Linked DNA regions of Mus musculus: all the other regions are reported to be linked to region 2. Evidence: microRNA targets listed by miRTarBase, many of them from high-throughput screens and not tested one by one. Region 2 holds a microRNA gene; each other region holds the end of a gene's coding sequence.

The links. Region 2 holds the annotated microRNA mmu-miR-3082-5p (GACAGAGUGUGUGUGUCUGUGU, at 2,061-2,082, shown strand). A microRNA usually pairs through its seed, bases 2 to 8, with sites in the 3' UTR of a target mRNA and lowers its output. Matches are read on the target gene's strand: a 7mer-m8 pairs with bases 2 to 8, a 7mer-A1 pairs with bases 2 to 7 and ends in A, and an 8mer does both.
Region 1: miRTarBase lists Abi2 as a target of mmu-miR-3082-5p. Seed matches in the 3' UTR shown: 7mer-A1 at 905-911 and 8mer at 1,598-1,605.
Region 3: the mRNA of Rad1 is a reported target of mmu-miR-3082-5p. Seed matches in the 3' UTR shown: 7mer-A1 at 392-398.

What each region holds. Positions count from the first base shown.
Region 1 is chr1:60,477,631-60,480,630 of GRCm38, forward strand. Abi2 (abl-interactor 2) reads left to right here. Exons shown (of 12, transcript NM_001198570.1): 12 at 373-3,000. The coding sequence ends at 377. It also overlaps a transcript of Raph1 not described here. Among named protein-coding and RNA genes, the nearest start is that of Abi2, 70 kb to the left of the region's middle.
Region 2 is chr17:25,830,488-25,833,487 of GRCm38, reverse strand. Mir3082 (microRNA 3082) reads left to right here and starts at 2,060; the gene lies at 2,060-2,123. It overlaps Jmjd8 (jumonji domain containing 8), which reads right to left. Exons shown (of 9, transcript NM_028101.5): 9 at 1,645-2,978. The coding sequence ends at 2,898. Stub1 (STIP1 homology and U-Box containing protein 1) reads left to right here and starts at 569. Exons shown (of 7, transcript NM_019719.4): 1 at 569-796; 2 at 1,244-1,442; 3 at 1,527-1,692; 4 at 1,857-1,944; 5 at 2,123-2,179; 6 at 2,270-2,386; 7 at 2,478-2,854. The coding sequence starts at 635. The coding sequence ends at 2,603.
Region 3 is chr15:10,492,996-10,495,995 of GRCm38, forward strand. It overlaps Rad1 (RAD1 checkpoint DNA exonuclease), which reads left to right. Exons shown (of 6, transcript NM_011232.3): 6 at 159-700. The coding sequence ends at 336. Among named protein-coding and RNA genes, the nearest start is that of Rad1, 8.5 kb to the left of the region's middle.

The DNA.
Region 1 (3,000 bases), not on the chromosome of region 2:
CAATGTGAAATGTGGTGTAGGTACTTCATGTACTGAGGTGAGCTTGTTGGATACGAAGGTTCCTAAGGATCTCCAGCCTTAGGCTGTTTCAGAGCAGGAAGTCAGACCAGCTATTACTGTTCTTTTGATATTCAACCCCCCCACCCCACCTTTAATTTTTTAGCAGAGACTAGTGTTGTCAAGTCTCTTGACAGTCACTGGACTGGGAATGAAAGGCTGCTACCATGCTCTTGGACCATTATCAATGGCAGTGTTAGCTGATGCCAAGTCATTTTCAATCTCTCAGCTATAGAAAAATAAGTCTCCTCCTGATCTGAAGTGATTAGACTCTAAAGTGGCACTCCTAGTAATATTCTGAATTTTGTGATTCAGAGTGAAGAGTGTGCTGGAGAAGACTAATAGAATAAAATACTTGCCCAGTCACACTGAGGAAAATCAGTAGTATGTATTTGAAACTATTGGCATCTCCCTCATCTACCGAAGAGGAAGTAAAGCTGTTGTAATCCAGATGCAGGCCTTGTACATGCTGTCTGGTGATGCTAGAAGAACAAGCGTTGTAGATGTGAAGAAAAGCAGACTATAAGGCACTGACACTCCACTGGTAGATCCGCTATCTGCACCTGAGGCTTCACTGTGCAACTCGGACCCAGACAGTGTTCTTCTCAAGACCTCTTTTGCTTTAAGGTTGTAGGTTTTGTTTGTTTCAGACATGGTGTCTTCCTGCTCTAGCCTCTCAAATACTAGGATTGTAAGGAGGAGCCACTGTACCAGGAGCAGCAGGCTGTTTTGGTTTTAATTTTATTTTAAAACCACATTGCACATCAGCTATCACGCTTTTAGATGGTTTGTTTTTTTTGTTTTTTGTTTTTTTTTGTTTTTTTTTGGATTTTTTGAGATAGGCTTTCTCTGTATAGCCCAGGCTGTCCTGGAACTCACTTTGTAGACCAGGCTGGCCTCAAACTCAGAAATCCACCTGCCTCTGCCTGCCGAGTGCTGGGACTAAAGGCGTGCGCCACCACCGCCCGGCTCACACTTTTAGAGTTTTTTTAGATGCTTTGGATTCTTTAACTTGCTTCTAGCACACGTTCCACTTCATGGATTTGTTAGGTCATCTTGACTGTCTTCAGAATATATCCCTGAAGTCCTCTGAACCTTTAGTTCCATTATGGACCCAAGCAAGACTGTATATGAACGTTTAACTCTGATTGTATTGGTACATGGAAACTTTTGAAAAATAGTTGCACTAATTATTTATTTAAGTAGCCTTTTGTTGAACAAGCTTAGTTGACTAATAAGACGTTTGGAAACCCAGCAAACAACTAGCTTTTGTAGTCATAGAAACAACTGGTGGTAGGCACCAGGAATACAGTTTATCTTCTGGACTCCTGCTGAGTTGGGGTTTGCAGAAAACACTTGTGAAATCCTTTGTGCTGAAGACTTGCACTGGGGGTAATCCATGGGACAGATGACTCCCTCCCCCTTGTATTATTGAGTACTAATAGGGTTTAAAAACGAAACACAAAATACTCTATGTTGGCCTTTTCCCCCAATCTTAAATTTTTTCAATTTTGGATTCTATGAATTGTTTTGGAAGGATACTCTGTAACAATGAGCCAGGCCTACAGTAATCGGAGACTTTTAATGTATGTAATATTTTATAGATTGCATGCTGTTAATACTGTGAGGTTATTTCCTGTTTTATTGTAAATTTTCCCATTTATTTGCCCATAAACTAAAATATGGTTGATATTAGGAATTTTAAACAAATGTTGAAACTTTGCTGACCAGAATGCAACCACTTTACCAAGACACAGGTACTGAGGGCTCTGGTCTATCCTGAAATGTCTGATTCTGTGCACAGTTCCTTTACCCTTAAAAAAAAAAAAAAGAAAAGACTGGACATGTCTCTTTTTTTGCTGTTAATATTTGAAGGTCCAAGGATCTGAGTGAAAATACATTCTTGTGTTTGATCTTATAGCCAAGGCAAATTAGAAACAAAAATAGTGCCAATATTTTGAAATCTAGACCCAAGATTTCAGCCTGCTGTGTTTGGAATAAATATGAATTTTTAAAGATGTCTCCTACAGTATTTTCCTTTTGGCTACTTCTGTCTTCCTGAGAGGTACTTGTCCTCATCTAGGGATTAGCACAGGACTGCTGAGTTTGCTATTCTTAAGTCACTGGGTGACAATTTTTACCCCCTCCTTTCCTTACCAGTACTACTGCTGTTTATATTGCCTGGCTAGAGACTGGTTTATGCATCTTTACAAATGATGTCTACCATGTAGTTGCCTCGTTAACAGTTTTATGTTGATTAAAGATGATTCTTACGTGTGGGACATCAAAATGATAGCTTGCTTTTATCTTTCAGTTCTCATTTTCTTTTAAGGTCACCTTTCTGCAGTACAGCTTGCTTTACTCTTTTCTCCTCATGGAGAACATGGTGTCTCCCGAAGGCCGCCTTTACGCCTGCAAAGGGCTTTGGTGGAAGAAATGGTTGGTAGACTTCCAAATCTTTGAAATGAATGGGAGCTGTTTACTTATGAATAGCTTTGGCCAGAAACTCCTCCCGAAGGTGACTTGATGTTTCCCTAACACCATTTACTTGGAATCAGAATTTTTGAACTAATAAGCTTTAACAATGTTTGTCCCGGTCTCACCTGAGTGATGCTGTGTTTTAGATAAGCAGCTAGTTAGTTCTTGACTCAGTGCTCGGTTCTCTCTCCACCGGACCAACTGTTGTAACTAAGCGTGCTGTACTTTTCTTTAGAAATAGAGTTCTATCTGTATTCAGGATTATACTTGAAAAAATATGCCATGTTCTGATTAATAACCATCAAAGTATTCAGATTGCTTAAAGGAATTCAAGTGCAACCTGCATTCACCCCTTCTAAAACTTAATTCATAAATACCTTTCTATAAAGCTGTGTGTAGCAAGAATGCATTGTATTTAGTTCTATGCTGGCAGGAACAGAATGGAGCACAACAAAGTACACAGCC
Region 2 (3,000 bases):
AAGAAGCTCCTCCCCATGACCGCGAGAAGGGCAAGAGTCCAGCCGTGCACCCGCAGCTACTTCTATAGCAACCGCAGAAGGTCCTTCGGTGTCAGCGTGTCACGTGCTTGTTTCTCAGCCATTAATGGCCGCAGGCAGCTCCTCCCGATTCCCGAGGAAGCCCCTCGAGAGCGGTCTGATCTGCGGGCCTCTCTTCTACCCTCAATTCCGCCTTCCTACCGGCGGTCCAGACGTTCCCAGGCTGTCGCGTGAGCCCGTGTGTGCCCTGGTGGTGCGCTAGGACCCGGGCCTAGTGACCGGCCCTCGGAAGGCCACTTCTCAATGACCGCTGCCACGTTCGCCCAGCTTGGGGCCGGAGGGCGGGGCTTGAGCGCCGATGGGCGGAGCCTTGGTCTGAGCAGGGTAGGTCTCGGTTACTGTAGGGCGGGGCCTGTAGAGCGCGGCGGAAGCTTCTCAGAGCTAAGGGAACTGGCTCAATCCACGAGGCTCCGCCTTTGCTCACGTGTCCCCATGCCAGCTCCGCCCCACACCGGAAGTTCCGGTGGCGGATCGCCGACCGGGCGGAGCTGATCGCTGCGCGGGCTGCGAGATCTAGGTGGCCGGGCGCGGAGCCCAAGCCGTGCCGCGCGGCGCCATGAAGGGCAAGGAGGAAAAGGAGGGCGGCGCGCGGCTGGGCACTGGTGGCGGCGGCAGCCCTGATAAGAGCCCGAGTGCGCAAGAGCTCAAGGAGCAGGGAAACCGGCTCTTCGTGGGCCGCAAGTACCCGGAGGCGGCGGCCTGCTACGGCCGCGCCATCGTGAGTGCGGGAGGGGCGGGGGCGGGGCCCGATGTGCCTCCCAGTTTTGTGATCCCGGACAGGGTTTCTGGCAGCCTGGACTCGATGGCTCGCTCGCTCCCCTGGTGCCCGGATTGCTGTTCCCGAGTCTAGGGCTGATTTGACTGGGAACTGGCGGGCGGGATGCTTGATTAAGTAAGACTAAGGATGACACCAGGAGCTCTTGCCCCTTGAGATTTCCAAGCCCAGAGCTTGTAGAGGGGTTGTGGGATTTCTCTCAAAAGCAGTTGGAGGCAAGAAAGCATGGCCAGAATCCAGAGCTCTTGATAATTCGGAAATCTCCAGTTCCTCTATTCCAGCCATGGGCCCCCAAAGCTGGAGCATTGACCAGATCATTGGCTTTCAGCTTGCTAAATGAGAGGGGATCAACTGAGCCCACACTCTTTGACGCCTGGTCTTGGTCCCCAGACTCGGAACCCACTTGTGGCAGTGTACTACACTAACCGGGCCCTGTGCTATCTGAAGATGCAGCAGCCTGAACAGGCACTTGCTGACTGCCGGCGAGCCCTGGAGCTGGACGGGCAGTCTGTGAAGGCGCACTTCTTCCTGGGGCAGTGCCAGCTGGAGATGGAGAGTTATGATGAGGCCATTGCCAATCTGCAGCGAGGTGGGCTGACAAGATGCAAGGTTGAGGGCACCTTGGGGGACCAGGATTGTTGACAAGTGTAACCAAAAGTGTCCACTCCCCTAGCCTATAGTTTGGCCAAGGAGCAGCGACTCAACTTTGGGGATGATATTCCTAGTGCCCTTCGCATTGCTAAGAAGAAGCGCTGGAACAGTATCGAGGAACGGCGCATCCACCAGGAGAGTGAGCTGCATTCATATCTCACCAGGCTCATTGCTGCTGAGCGAGAGAGGTGGGTCCCTCCCCCAGCAGACACTGAGTCACCAGCACAAGTGTTTTTATTGAAGGACAACAACCGGTACATGGGAAGCCCAGGAGGAAAGAGGCCTGAGATGGGGCGGGCTCTGTGATTTCCTGGTCAGGGCCATCACCAACTAGCTTCTGGTTAACCCTCAGGGAACTGGAGGAGTGTCAGCGGAACCACGAGGGTCATGAAGATGATGGCCACATCCGGGCCCAGCAGGCCTGCATTGAGGCCAAGCACGTGAGGGTGCCCCTAGTCCACATGTGGGTCATTGTGTGTGTGTTTGTGTGTGGCATGAAAAGTGCCCCAGCCTTTGGTGGATCTGTTGGCCCATGCATGACATGAGTGCCCTGGTGGACAGAGTGTGTGTGTCTGTGTGGAGACAGGAGTTGCCCACACATGGCACTCAACTCTGCAGGATAAATACATGGCAGATATGGATGAGCTCTTCTCTCAGGTGGACGAGAAAAGAAAGGTGAGGACCCCCGGAAGCTCATCGGCTGCTGCTGGTATGGTGACCCCCACAGCCCCCTCCAGTTCTAGACATTTTCCCCTTGTGCTATAGAAGCGAGATATCCCTGACTACTTGTGTGGCAAGATTAGCTTTGAGCTGATGCGGGAACCCTGCATTACACCCAGTGGTATCACCTATGACCGCAAGGACATTGAGGAGCACCTGCAGGTAAGGAGGGCCCATGGAGACCGGGCCATGGAGAGCCTTGGTACCCGGATCGGTATACTCAGGCCATTGAACACTCTTGACTCTGTTGCAGCGTGTGGGCCACTTTGACCCTGTGACCCGGAGCCCTCTGACCCAGGAACAGCTCATCCCCAACTTGGCCATGAAGGAAGTCATTGACGCTTTCATCTCTGAGAACGGCTGGGTAGAGGACTATTGAGGCCCCATGTCCTGCCTGGCACCCTGGCCCAGGAGGATCTGGAGACGGAAGCTCCAGTCCCTGTATAGTTTGTGTCCCTGGGCCTGCCCCCATCGGCCCTGCTGATGGGTTCTGAACTGCTCCCCTTCTCAGCATACCCCTTGCTGGACCATGAGCCTCCCTTGTCCCCCTTCTGGGCTGGAGAGTGGGTGAGGGTGGGCTGAGGTTGCTGCTGCTGCCACTGTCCTGTAATAAAGTCTGTGAGCACTACATTGGCATGTGCTGGTGCAGTGGGCTTGCCAGTTGCCTGTCTGGCTAGCCAAGGAAGGTAGAAATGAAGACACTGGTGTCCAGATTGAGTGTGGCATGCCACCACCGATCAGGAAAATACAGTACCTGGGAGAAAAGAAAAAAAAAA
Region 3 (3,000 bases), not on the chromosome of region 2:
CTTGGGGATATTGGGTTGTAATCGCGGGTGGATAAGGCAAGAAATCCAGCACCTCGGTTAAGTACTTGCTACTCAGTACTAACTTTTGTCTTTACTTGGTGTTGCATGCATGGCATTTAGTGGATCCAAACAACGGCCTTTCCTTTACTCTCCCACAGATACAAGCTGTCGCTACTGAAGCCCTCTACAAAGGCACTAGCTTTATCCTGTAAAGTGTCTATCCGGACAGATAACCGAGGCTTCCTCTCCTTACAGTACATGATTAGAAATGAAGATGGGCAGATATGTTTTGTGGAATATTACTGCTGCCCTGATGAAGAAGTTCCTGAGTCTTGAATAATTCACTGACTATTTCTGTCTTTTTTTTTTTTTCTTTCACGAGACAGGGTTTCTCTGTAGCCCTGGCTGTCCTGGAACTCACTTTGTAGACCAGGCTGGCCTCGAACTCAGAAATTCACCTGCCTCTGCCTCCCGAGTGCTGGGATTAAAGGCATGCGCCACCACGACCGGCGAATATTTGTGTCTTTATAGTTGGCGTTCTCACTCTAACTCTCTAACCTTGATGATTTCATTTTGGATTGTATAGAGAGATGCATGGAGAAAATAGGAGCAAGGTCAGTCCCATTCTGTAAATCTGTAAATAGTTTTTATTTTGTCAATAAATTTTTCATATAGCCATAAATTATCCGACTTACTGTACTGTCCTGTGTCTTTTGTTCTTTTCTTTTTTAAAACTGTGTTCATGCCGGGCATGGTGGCGCACACCTTTAATCCCAGCACTTGGGAGGCAGAGGCAGGCGGATTTCTGAGTTGGAGACCAGCCTGGTCTACAGAGTGAGTTCCAGGACAGCCAGGGCAACACAGAGAAACCCTGTCTCGAAAAACCAAAACAAACAAAAAAAAAAACAAAAAAAAAAACCCTGTGTTCATTGTGTGTGTGTGTGTGTGTGTGTGTGTGTGTGTGTGTGTGTTTGCTTACCTTGGATGTATAGGCACCGCATGTGTGCCTGGTGCCTGCAGAGTTCAGAAGGGGCATTTGATGCTCTAGAGCTAGAGCTACAGGTGGTTACAATCCTCCATGTGGGTTCTGGGAACCAACCCCTAGTCCTCTGAGGTGACGACTGAGCCATATCTCCAGCATTCTCCTTTCCCCCTGACAACCTTCCCAACTTATGGGAATCAGTGAATCAACATGAATACATTGTGGTTTTTCCACTTAAGTAGATTTTTTGTTTTGTTTTGTTTTGTTTTGTTTTTTTCCGGTTTTTCAAGACAAGGTTTCTCTGTATAATAGCCTTGGCTGTCCTGGACTCAATTTGTAGACCAGGCTGGCATCAAACTCAAAGATCCTCTGCCTCTGTGTACTAGGATTAAAGACATGCACCACTATGCCCAGCCTAACATATCTTGAGAGTCTATACAAAGTTGGATGGAGCCATATCCGATATGTTCTTTTCTTTATATAATAGTATACATTCCAGGTACTAGATCTTTTGTTTTGTTTTGTTTTGTTTTGTTTGAGACAGGGTTTCTCTGTGTAGCTCTGGCTGTCCTGGAACTCACACTGTAGACCAGACTGGCCTCAAACTCAGAAATCCGCCTGCCTCTGCCTCCCGAGTGCTGGAATTAAAGATGTGCACAACCACTGTCTAGTCAGATACTAGATCTTAAAGCTGAGTGGCTCACTATCACACCAGTGTCAGAACTGTCTTGAGACTTGCTAGTGGGGAGAGCAATGTTTATTTTCTCAAGCTTCCTCCAGAAAATTCTGATGTTTGCCAAAGTGTGAAAAAAACAGCTGAACCACAGTTTGAGAGACTATTCTTGCTTTTGTTTTATTACATTCACCTCTCTCTCTCTCTCTCTCTCTCTCCTCTCCTCTCCTCTCTCTCCTCTCTCTCTCTCCTCTCTCCTCTCCTCTCCCTCTCTCTCTCTCTCTCTCTCTCTCTCTCTCTCTCTCGACAGGGTTTCCTGGCTGGACAGGTGACTTCACAAATGATTTGAGTTGAAGCATTCTATGGTTAATTTTATTATTGTTGACTTGGTTTTAAGAGTTTGTTTTGTTTGTTTTGAGACAGGGACTCTCTACATAGCCTTAGCTGTCCTAGAATTTACTGTGTAGACCAGGCTGGTCTCGAACTCACAGAGATCCACCTGCCTCTGACTCCTGAGTACTGGGATAAGAGGTGTACTGCCCTGGCCTTTGTTCCTTTTTGCTGTCTAACTGGCCTTCGAGGAGCCATCTTAGATCTAATGCCCTGGACCATCAGGACTCTTGGAGGACTCGCAGGAGCCTGTGCTGTCTTGCTCTCCATTGCACTTTTTCCTTCACAAGGTTGGCGTCCATATCCCCCACACAAAACAAGCCATGTTTGTATTTCCCTGGGTAGTTTTTACTAAAATAGCTTTTGTGGCAATAGATTTTTTTTTGTCATTAACAAAACATAATACTAAAATCATATGATAAGCCTTCTCAGTAGAAAAAATATGTCTAAAGTGAAATTTCTCTTTTCTATGCTAGACACTAACAGTCACTGATGGTTTGGGGCATGATACTTGGGGAAATAATGTTACTCTATTGCAAGATGTGTTTAACATTCCTAAAATTATCTCTTCCGGTCATTATGACTCCTGTCCCCAAATAAAAGTACCCAAGGCTACTGATGGTTGAAAACAGCCAGTGGAAGAATACAGGTTGAGTTTTATAAGTTTTTAGTTTTGTGTTTTTGAAGTTTATATCATTTTCTTTTTGGAAAATTTTGCTTGCCAGAAATAGGTAAACAAACAGCCTTTTTTTTTCTCTTTTTTTAAACCTTGTTTATTCCCCCATTTTATGTTTCTACCTAGAATTTATTTAACTACTCAAAATAGACTAAATAATTTCTTAAATTATACTTTTTTAAATCACAGAATTTCGGATGTAAAGTATTCCTGTAAAACATGGTTGCAGCTACCTGAAGGGGTAGGCTATGATCCTCTCAGCGGTTTGGAGTGGACTCT